3 linked regions of the Drosophila melanogaster genome follow. The protein of the gene in region 1 interacts with the protein of each later gene in a pairwise test. Each region holds a gene or a part of one and is shown in the gene's direction. Other genes may lie near its edges.

Region 1 (3,754 bases):
GCGCTGCCATGGTATTTTCCACACAAATTATATCAATTTGTTGCGGTGGAGAACCCCTACCCCTCCCCACTAACACCACCATCCCACCAACGAGGGGAGACGCCCTTGTGGTGCTTTATTTATAGTTCTTTAGATCTTTACACAGAAACAAGCAGATCACTTTGCCCCAGATTCTAAGGGGCATTTCACTATTCCTAAAACAAAATCCGTCCATATTTTCCGCCTTTTATAATTGTTCCGATTGGTGTACCAGTTTAAAAAGAAACAAATTTGTATTATGAGGTTTTGGTCCAATTTCCACTTGTATTAGTACACAAACCATATTTTAGTTATCAACAATAATAATAATTAATATTATTTTGTATTTAATTTCCAGAATTCATGGAGATGATGACTGGCGAGTAAGCATTGTGGACCCAACGTATCTCATAATTGTCTACCCCCCAACACCCGAGGCTTGAATAAACGTTTTGTATTTTATTTCTACGATTGAGTAATCATAATTACGCTATAAATAATCCGCTCGTTCAGGAACCGATTGAGTAGAAAAACCCAAAGCGCGGCAAACATTCTATGGCTGCAGTGCATCTGCATCCGAGTTGAGTCATCTTAATTGCCAATTGCCACCCTCTGGCGTGCGGATTATTATTAAATTTCAATGTTTGTGCAATGGGCTGGGAGTGGGCGTGGCCGCTCTGCTCATTTGTGTGTTAATTTGGCAAGGCCATTCGGCGTATGAGTGATGCATGTTGCGCATACGCAACGTGGCCAGATGCATGCGGAGTTCTTTGTTTCAATCTTTCCGCTATTACTTGCGGCAGTGCGTGCACATTCCGTTTGCCACTTGACTGGCGTTCTGGTCCGCACAGCTGTGACCATCCCAAGCAGAATAAGGCCCACTGACAACCTGCTAGATTTTTGCCTTTCCAAACAGCCAATGTAGTATATCATAGCTATGCATGCAGGCTGGCAAATGTCAATGAGCATTCTCCTTGTTGCCAAAAGATGTCAAGCATTTACGCTAAACTTGGCCGCCGCGACATGCAGTGAGTTTGTTTTCCCAAATTCAGCGAAAAGAAGCAACTGCCCTTTCTGAAAAGTTAGCGAAAAAAAAGGAGAAGGGGCTTGGGGCAGATCGATGTGGATGGGTTGGGGTTTGGATGTTGCCACCAAGTGGAGCAACTTGTTTTGCGCAATGCTTAGTCTTTCGGCCGGAGGGTGTCGATATTAGTGGTATTTATTACCGCTTCGAATCCAGTTTTCAGTTTTTACCCAATCATTAGGTGAAAGGTCACAGACTGGACCTGGACGCCCTGTGAAAGAGCTGAAAATGTGGCGGATTGTGTTGGGTGTCAGATTTATTGACATCCGCCTGGGCAGACTTCTCAATATGCGATTCTTGACACCGAGCGCATTAAAACGGTTTCCCAAACGTGCAATTCAATGGAGATGAAGCTGAATGATGATGATGCGCTCGAGCGTTGAGCGTTTCGATTGGATTCCAATTTACGAGCACCACCAGCAGCAGTTGCTTGCTTGCTAATTTTTACCCACTAACCGAGGAGAGATGTGGCTGAGAGCGTTTGTTTAACAAGACAAGGTACATTGAGTAAACGAGATGCCGCCGTTGAGACAATAGTCAAAATGCATGGGCTTGCGGATGAGGATGCGGGGGCACCACCACCTCCTCCTCCCTTTTTCGTGCGATTGTTTTCTGCCCCAGCTGGGGACGGAGCCTCAGCTAGCACCACCACCATCACCACCACAGCTGCACACGATTGCAATAAATGCCATAAAGTATCAAAATCTCAGCACTCGCTCAGCACCGAGCTCCAAGCTGCAAGCGGCAAGCTCCGGCTGCAGTTTTCGTTCATTCCATTCCATTTGATTGCATTTGGCGCCAAACCAAGTATAAAAGCTGGAGAACTTGGGCTGCGATCGGCACACAAGTACCGTGACATTCGAGGAGCCACAACACGACACGCGGAGGCACTGCATCGCTGGTGCGGCAAAGGACTTACGTGGATTAACCCAGCTTTGTGGATAAATTAAGCAGTGGATAAATTGTGGGTGCGCCAAGGATTCTTCTTCTTAATCCTCGATCGAAACAATCAAAAGATTGCTGTCATGGCTCTTAAGTGGGTAAGTTCAGTGAAAGAGGAAAGTAACTTTGGGTTAGAAAATTCAAAAGATCCAAGTGTTCTAATGAAGAGTCCTTTGAAACTCCATATGCTGTTGTGGTTAGAAATTATTGTAGAGCTTTACTAATTTTTCCCGAAAAGTATCCTTCTTGAGATAATGACCTAGATTCAAAAATATATTTCAATGTTTGAATATAATATTCATATTTATATTCATATTTTCCGTTTTTATTCTTTTCGGATTTTTTACATTCATTACATTTTTACATTTTACATTCGAATGCAAAGATCTTAATGCTTCAAATTTAATTAAATTGATTTCATTACCCAATTTAATTTAAATGAAAGTAAAGTTACGAATTTTACCTTAGAATAAAGACATTCAATTATTTTAGTCTAGGGAATTGTCTCATCAGAAATCTGTATTAAATTGGCATAGGAATATTCTTATTCATCAAGAGTTTATAACTTTTCAGGAAACTTTGATTTAGTTAATTATTTAATCTCAACTTGGCAACTCATAAAATTCCGCGAAAAAGAACATGCCTAAACAATAGGCCACTGGAGTGTCCCATCTTGGATATTTTAGCACAGCCAAGGGTTTCCCCATTGCACTTAGCATATCCGATTGTCTTGAAAAGATCGAGTAATCCCCGTGAAACGCATAAATTAACAGCCCATTTGCAATCGGAGATGGTGGATGGCACGCAAAGTTGCCCAAGATGGTTTGGTCGTGGCCGATCCGCCCCGCCTCCAAAGCAGATCATCGAAATGGAAGCAGTGGCGACCCAATTGGCAGCCCATTTGCAATAACCGCAATTATATTTGCGGTTGCGAAACGCTGTCGAAGATGTCTGCTAGGTGGTCACGAACTCCAAGAGGCTCTCACAGACTCCTCAAGATATTCCGGCCCAAGGGGCAGGCGTTGCTTGTTTCGGTTGCATGTGCCACAGTCGCCGGATGAGTCAGTGTGGCAAATGTCAGAATTTCCACAATATTACATTATTACACTGCCCGGCTGTGGCGACAAGTGAGCTCATCATCGTGCCAATCGATGGAGCTGTTAGGTTTATGGCCCAATGGAATTCGTAAACGGTTTAAACTTCAACTTGACACTCGCTGGTCCGCTCCGCTTAGCCAACCTTCCCAGCCAGCAATTCTCTGTGGCACTCTCGGTTCACACGCTGCTGCATCTTCAGACGTCTTCTGTCTAACAAGAAGTCCATAAATATCATAGTTCGCCTCAGGCTGAGACAATGATGAGCCAGCCCGATGTTGATACTATAGTCAAGAGTCCCCGCTGCACTTGCAGCCTTAATGGGCGACGACGATCGGTTGCAACAATGGAAAACGTGAGCGGATCGGATTGCGTCGTTCTGTCAATGGACAAATGCTTCATTGATGAAATGGCCGACATTTGGCCACACTCTTGACCCCTTTGGAGGTTCCCAGCGGCGGGGTCATGATACCCACTTGGCCGAGATGTGTATCAGGGCTTAATTAACAGCAGAAACAATTCAAGGTTCTTCTTGTAATTTGAAGTTTGGAAAAAGCTTATCGTTTATTTTTGGAACGAACCATTGCTGTTTAACTTAAAATACACATTTATTACA
Region 2 (3,754 bases), on another chromosome or scaffold:
CTGAGTGTAATATGCCCTCTTCTATAATGGCAAAAAAATCTATGCATCTGAACCAGATGATAGATTACTAAATTACTGGTTAATGACTTAAGTTAACTAGAATATTTTAGAATTCATAAATCTTAATTGATTATTAGCTTACCACAATATTGCTCACCAATTGAATGGGAGGAACTGTAGAATCCCACTGTGCCTGTGAAGATTATCGCGATTGAAACGCACACTCAACTTAATCTTGTGCACATATTTATATATTTTAGTATATAGTTAAGAATTATACAACAGTATAAAAGATGACTGAGAGCCGTTTGGAGCAGGAATAGGGAAGGGGCGAGGCACACCGGGGTTGTTCTCACAGTTTGCCCTCGCGAATCTTGTTCAGCGTCTTCTCGGTCATCAATTGAGCCAGAATCTTGCTCAGCGTGGGATTCCGGGCGCAGTAGGCCAAGAGGTTGACGGGAAAGAGGCCGCACCAGGTGAGATCCATCTTATTGGCCAAGGCAACGGCGAACAGATCGCCACATCTCTGGGCCGTCATCCGTTTCTGATTGGCCGTACTCAGACCCACCTTTCCGCCCTGCGAGCCAGTGAAGGCCTCCTGCAGGAAATCGGTGGCTATGGGTCCCGGTGCGAAGAGCGACACATCCAGCTTGCGCATCTCCACTTTCAGGGAGAGCAAGTAGGCGTTAAGGGCGTGCTTGGCGGCACAGTAGGTGGGTGAAAATGGCACTGGACTGAAGCCGGCGATGCTGGAGGTGGCAGCGATGTGTCCTCTACCGCCGTTCTGCTCCACGAAATAGCGCACCACCAGGCGGCTGAGGTGGACCACCGCAAAGACATCCAGTTCGAACAGCTCCCGGTCCACCTCGATCTCGACTTCGGTCCAACTGGCTCGCTGGGATCGGCCAGCATTATTGACAAGGACATCCAGTCGATGAAAGTGATTGAGCACCGTGTTGAGATGCGTCTTATGCTCGTCGAGATCGAGCATGTCCATTTGAATGACCAGCACGTCCTTGGTGGCCAGCAGTCCGCGAGCTGCAGCTAGGCATTCCTCTTGCACTTGCTCCAATTGCTCCAGTCGCCGGGCACTTAGCACCAATTTCACTCCATGCCTGGCCAAGCTGAGCGCCAAAGCGCGGCCAATTCCGCTCGAGGCACCAGTTATCCAAACCACCTGTCCGCGCATCGACGACAGCGAGACTCCGAAACGGGACTTGTACCACAGGGCCACATTGCAGTCGAGCAGGATCCAGAGGAGCACGTACACGACATAGTACAGCACGAGCAGGAGCAGCAGAAACTCCAGGAAGCTCATCTCGTTGGCTCTGTATGGCACGGCTGGGTCGGAGAAACCTTTGTCCTCTGCCGCAACGGAAGGCACTGAAACCTGTTCTTGGCCACACAGAAATCACTGCGAGCGGGTCTGATCGATCAGCTGTTGGTGGGCACCAGAGGTGACGCAGTGACTGCGGAAAGTAGTCACCTTATCTGACATAAAACCCTTATACTTGGTTTTTGAATGATGCTATATTATTTAAATACCTTTTGGTAGCTAGGTAAGGGTAGTACTATCTTTCTTGAGAGAACATGTAGAGCATAATCCAAGATACGAAAAACGCTTCCATCTGCTCATCTCTGATAGTTTTTTTACGTAAACGAATCAGGGCTTCCAACACACTGCCTTTGCGCCAACATTCACATCAAAATTCAACCCCATCAGTTTGGCTAACCATTTCTTTTTATATAAAAGTAAGTAAACTAAGAACTAATCCTAGGCCTGCAGGAAGTCTCCGAGATTGCCACATATTTTGTCGATTTCCGCACATCCCGATTGCTCCAGCGCTGAAATGGCATTGGCGAGGGCCACGGTTTCTTTCAGGGAATGGGCCTTCAACCATATCCTGCCGTTGACTCCCACAGCGATCTCGTAGGGCAGTTCCCGGGTAAGAGCGGCGAGAACAGGGCAGTTTTCCCGCAGCAGCATCCTTCCCAGATTCAGGCTGCACTTGAAGAAGAATCCATCGGTGAGGACGCCCAGTTTGCCACTTTTGCCCACCGAGTTGACGCAGACCAGCTCCGGTTCAATGTCCGCGCTTGCATTCAGGACTCTCGCGTAAATCAGATCACCGGGGATCAGATCCGGGCGATTCTTCTTGCTGGCCGCCTCAAAGGCGAGATACGATATGGAGGCTGTGTCCGTTGCTCCGATGTCCACGCGGTACAGATCGCCCGCCTTGGCTCGCACAATGCCCAGAATGAGATCCCCGCGTGCCGGGATGTACCTTCTCTGGTAGTTGTCCACCCAGAAGGTGCCGGGTTCCTTGTGTCGAAGTGGGCCCGCCTTGCTAGCCACCACCGTGTCATCCAGACGCCGCAGTCCCGGTCCGAGTATCACCCGCTTGCTCTTGGCCAGCTCCTCAATGGCCGCAATTCGCTCACCGGGCATAACTATTGTGCTGGTCGCGCTCATTTTAATGTTGCTTTTACGATTTGAAAACTCCAAACAAAAAATCCGCGTGTGTCTTTCAAAACATATGGTCAAGTCGAGGACTTTCCAACACTGCCATTGTCAGCCCTGGTCTTAAAGTTAAATTTAACAGTAGTTGTAAAGAACATAAATATTCAAATTATTTTTGCCCCTTCTTATTTTATTATTTTCAAAATGCTTACGATTTTAATTATTAAGATGAACTTAAAAAAGTAACAGAAAAATTATATTTAGTCAAATTGTAATTGTTCTATATTACTGAATGATCTTAAAAATGCAAAGAAAGTTTTAAAGAGCTAACAGCGTGTGGGCGGCAATGTTAACCAACACATATGCAATTTTTTCCCGATCAGCTGTGCTGCTATAAGCATAATCGTACGATTTGTTAAAATCCGCTTTGCATTTATTTGTTCTAATTTATGGCAGCTAAAAAGCGTGACTAACCACAAGTATGTGACTTTGAATGACCCGATTGTCCAGAAACCACGGGAACATTTCATTATCATTGGTTGTTACACTTCTCTTGACGCCATTTGATTGTTTATGCTTTATTAACGAGAGCATTTATTATTATGTAGATAGACATGCAATCCACAGCTACGTGTGGATCCCGATTACTCTAACCTTGTGCGAAGGTCAATTTTCCCCAAAAAATATAGGAAACGTACCAGGGAAAACAACAAAAAAGGGAAAGCGCACCCCCACACTGAAAACCGGCGAGCACCTGGAAACGCATACATATAAAAGGAGAGTAAATGTAAGTGTCCCTCTCTTTTCCACACTTAGAGATGGGCAAAAATACATCGCCTAAGCTGAGCTTTTAAAATTTATGAATATTAAATTTATCATATAGCTTGCAACAGAGCTATAGTTTCATGTAAGGTAACTAAAATATATATTTTAAATGATATTTTTTACTCCTTTATCAAGATACAAATTGGTAGCACTTTCGCCGCCGTCTTTTACACATTCAAGCCATGTCTTGGACCGCTTCAGTTTTCTTGAGGACTTCCACCACTAGCATGAAGTTTCTGCGTCTGCGCTGGCCTCTCCCCAGAATTCCCCAGAATAAATCGGCAAACGTTGCGCCGCGTTTCAGAAGCAAATCAGCAGTCAGCCAGCTCTCATCTGGATTTAAATTTGTGCAGATCCGCAAAAGTACTTGGTATGTATATTGCTAGACTCTTGGTGTGTGCTTGTGCATCCAGCTTAGGGAAAATATTTAATTGTTTTATCTGCGAACTTCACAAAGATCACCCCAAT
Region 3 (3,754 bases), on another chromosome or scaffold:
CTCAGGGGAAAGGCAAAACTCTGCCGTGAGACGAACGGCAGCTCGTAAATTTCAAAAATTTGAAAACAACAGCGCCGGCAACATATACTTTTCGCGCGCTGGCCGAAATTATTTTAAATCACCTGCTGCCCGGCATTTATCATCAGAGCCAGTCGGACAAGTCGGACTCCCTAACGACCGCAGCCAGTCTTCAGCTCAACTCCCAGGACGACTACAACGGCAGCGAGATTTGCGAAGAGCACTTTATTTTGGCCAAGCCATTGCCACGCCTCCGTCCCCAAGCCCCCATCCACACTCCATCCACGCAGTGAAGTTTTCTCCACCTAACACCGACCCACTCATAATGTCCGCGCTTCTGATGTTATTTTGCCATTTTCGCTCTGGTTTGCGGCTGGGGGAAAACTGTTTTGTTATCACGGTGATAAATGGAAAATTATTTTGAATCGAGCAACTACTTAAAAGAATTCCCAAAGGTTGTAATAAATTTTGGGGCACACACATACACACATACATTCACGTCCGAGAAGGACATGCGAGGAAGGACAAGTTGGTAAGACCGAATCCGAGTTGAGCTGGCTTGGTAATGTCCTTCCAGATAAAAAGGTGATTGACGAAGCGAAAGCAAAAGTCATGGTCGAACTTCCACTTAGCAATGCAGTTGTCGTTCACAGAAAAGGACCAACGACGATGTCGGTGGTTGTGTTGTGTGTAGTGGTGGGCTGGATGGCGAATTTCGTCCTGGCATGCACTTAATTTGTACTGGGAGCTGGGGACCTGGGGCTCCTCCACTTGCTCTGAAGAAATACTCCAAGTTGAGCATATTCACAAAGCTTTGCAGAGCCAGGAATGCTATAGGTGCACACCGTGCCAAATTATTTCCTTACAACTTTAAAACTAAACATTTTATTATATGATACATCCTGGAATATAGCCCACATAGGTAGGAAGTAACAGCTCTTCCGGGAAAATATTATAGCTTATCAACAGTACCACTATAATTAAATAATAATAAATATGCATTAAAAATATAAATATTTTATATGTCCTGGTCACAAGAATTGATACAAAGTCGTTTGGTTTTCTTAAGTGCAGCGTCTTTGTTGGCAGGAGCAGCTACATGCACTATGGAAACCACTTCCAAACTGGGGGCCATCTCCGATCCAGGCACAAAGGCACCCGGACAGGACGAGCACACTCAGCGAGCAGCTCTAACAACATCTATTTTTATTTCATTAGGTAGAAAAATAGCCGGCAAGGTGAAGCTCCTGGCAGCTTCGCCATCAAAACAAAGCGCTGAATATTGGCCAAAACGGAATGGAACGGGGCGGGCGAAGCGGGGCTGGCCACAAAAAGAAACTGCTCTTCGCTTCTCAATTAGGTTAGCTTAATTTAAATTTGCTTCGAGTGCTTGGCAAGTGCTTGCGAGACATTAGCAGCAAATATTAGCAAACGCTTAAAGAGCGCCGTAAGTGGAAAATATCTTAGGCGAGTTTTCTTAAATTAGCCGTTGTAAACATTTGTTACGCACTCGGGTCGGGATTTAGAGTGTCTTAAATGAAAACCGGACAGTTTTTAATGAGGAAGTACGTTTGGCAGGTGCGAGATAACTAAAACATAAAACATGTTCATTGGAGTATGAAGATAGACAAACGGCACTTCCATAAATGTATTAAGGTGCACTGGAACACATGGGTTAAAACCATGTTATACTTATCGATCACTTTCAGAAACAAACTTCAAAAAAAAAGACTTTCAACGCACAAACAAACATACTCGAAAATAACTCCATATGGACTTTGAAGATGATGAGGAGGTTGTGCAACCGCACTATGCTCAGAAATTCCGGGCTCCCACCGATCCCCTCCTTCTGGCCACATATGAGCTTTTTAAGCCCTCTCATCAGACCTTGAACCTATACAGCGAACGGAATCGCGAGATTTTTGCGGAGGCCTTTATAGAGGGAAACTTGAACACTTTAGTCAATCTGAGCGTAAAGAGTCTGGCCAAGCTGGGCATTCGAGGCATATCTCCAACTTTGCAGGCGAGTCCCCAGCTTATGAGGATATTTTACGACGCACTGGATGTGGAGCTGCCTTTGAGGTATGTAACGAAACGGATACAAGTATTTTCATTACATAACCTATAATTTAACATTTGACGCCACTAACTTTATATCGTTATTTACTATGGTTACAAACCCTAATAACTTTATATATATTTCAAAGAGATTGCTATTTGATCGAGGATCAACGATTTTGGCGACGCGTCGTACTAAGCAAGACTTTGGACAAAACGTTGCACCTGAAGCGCTGGAACGAGTTCGACTGGAAGGCTGAGGGTGTGAGCCGGAAGTTTGTGGAGCAGGTTGAATCATGTCCTGTGAACGTGAAGCCGCAGAGAAGGCTGGCTCAGTTGGCTGAAATTGTTTGGCAGTATGTCAACTCCATGCACATCCGCAAGCTGCAAGCTCTGCCCGACTATGCCTTCATTAAGCACTTGGAGAGCGAGCCTGAAGAGGATATATCCTCGGAGTCATCCGACGAGGAGGAGATATCTAGCGATGAGCCGGATACGGAAATGGACGAGGGCGAGGAGGAGCACAAGTCTAGTAGTTCCAGCAGCGAGGCAGCTATTACTTTCTGGCGTGCGGAAACCGAGAACGAGGACACAATTCGCCGGAATGCGCGACATCTGCGCAACGCCAACCGCCAGCAGGCTCGGGATGCCATTGCTAGGAAACGGGAGGATCGCAAGGAGCGCAAGAGGAAGCGCCAGGAGAAACTGGACGCCTTGAAGAATGCGGATCAATCGGGCAAGAAAAAGAAGAAAAAGAAGAAGGAACCGCCCATTCGAGACGTGTTCAGCATAAACGTTGCTCCAGAAGAAGGTGATGACGAGGACACAAAACCGGACAAGCGCAACAAGCAGCTGCTGCTGGAGCGGATCAAGCGGTATGACTATCCGGAGGACCATTGTCATCACATTGATCTGGGATTTGTACGATATTTTGAAAATATGATGTCTCTGACGCTGGAGTTTTTGGGACCACCTGATGTAAAAGACTATCAAAGGTAAGCTCTTAAATTAGAATGTTATGGTAAGAAACAACATCGAAGAAGTGAAACGTGCTGTACACGATTTGTATAACATGTTTTCTCTGAGATAAATGGAACCAAATAAATACATGTGAAGTAGAGTTCTAAAAGCGCCAAGAGTCTACAGCTGCATCGCCTACCACCAGCATTTAAATTAAAATTGCTAGCTTAAACTTAACTTAACTTGTACCTTACAGCCGTTATATGAAGTTCTCAGACAGTGATATGGTTCGTCTTAGCAAAGGTCTGAAATACTTACCGAGCCTCAAGACCTTCAGGCTTCGAAACAGTCGCCTGAGTATGAAGAAGTTTCGTATCCTGACCCGTGCCCTTCAGAACTTAGACACCCTTGATGAGGTGGATTTTGGTTATGACCAAATGACGGATGAGTGCAGCGAAGGCCTGGCCTATTTGCTAAAGCGCCCTTTGATGTACCGCAGTATCCAGCTGGAACACAACAAATTGGGCGCCAATTGTGCAATTGTGCTGGGCGAGGCGTTGAGCCAATCGCAAGTGGGGGTTTTGGAGTATCTGGGCCTGGCTCACAATCCGCTTAATGAATTGGCCCTGCATTCGCTCATAACGTGTATTATCGGAACCCCCCATGTGTGGGCCCTCAACATTTCGGGGATCAACACCACCCTGGGTTCGTTTTCCCG

The links.
Region 2: the proteins of Cpr47Ef (region 1) and Eno interact in a two-hybrid assay, tested with the Drosophila melanogaster proteins (one large-scale study listed by BioGRID).
Region 3: the proteins of Cpr47Ef (region 1) and CG15580 interact in a two-hybrid assay, tested with the Drosophila melanogaster proteins (one large-scale study listed by BioGRID).

Annotation. Positions count from the first base shown.
Region 1 is NT_033778.4:11,270,765-11,274,518, reverse strand, and holds the start of Cpr47Ef (cuticular protein 47Ef), read left to right. Parts: upstream 1-1,943; 5' UTR 1,944-2,127; coding exon 2,128-2,142; intron 2,143-3,754. Other genes in the region: TpnC47D (troponin C at 47D), read left to right, coding at 377-405.
Region 2 is NT_033779.5:1,727,548-1,731,301, reverse strand, and holds the start of Eno (enolase), read left to right. Parts: upstream 1-1,665; 5' UTR 1,666-1,774; coding exon of another isoform or gene 1,775-2,473; exon of another isoform or gene 2,474-2,570; intron 2,571-2,838; exon of another isoform or gene 2,839-2,999; intron 3,000-3,069; 5' UTR 3,070-3,248; intron 3,249-3,421; 5' UTR 3,422-3,468; coding exon 3,469-3,656; exon of another isoform or gene 3,657-3,754. Other genes in the region: CG31937 (uncharacterized protein), read right to left, coding at 353-1,318; Rrp40 (ribosomal RNA processing 40), read right to left, coding at 1,775-2,473. UniProt on the Drosophila melanogaster protein: Enzyme of the glycolytic pathway. Glycolysis is essential in glial cells but not in neurons; neurons rely on the citric acid cycle for their energy needs, and on lactate and alanine secreted into the hemolymph by glial cells to fuel it.
Region 3 is NT_033777.3:6,055,526-6,059,279, reverse strand, and holds the start of CG15580 (uncharacterized protein), read left to right. Parts: upstream 1-1,743; 5' UTR 1,744-1,789; coding exon 1,790-2,100; intron 2,101-2,225; coding exon 2,226-3,071; intron 3,072-3,292; coding exon 3,293-3,754.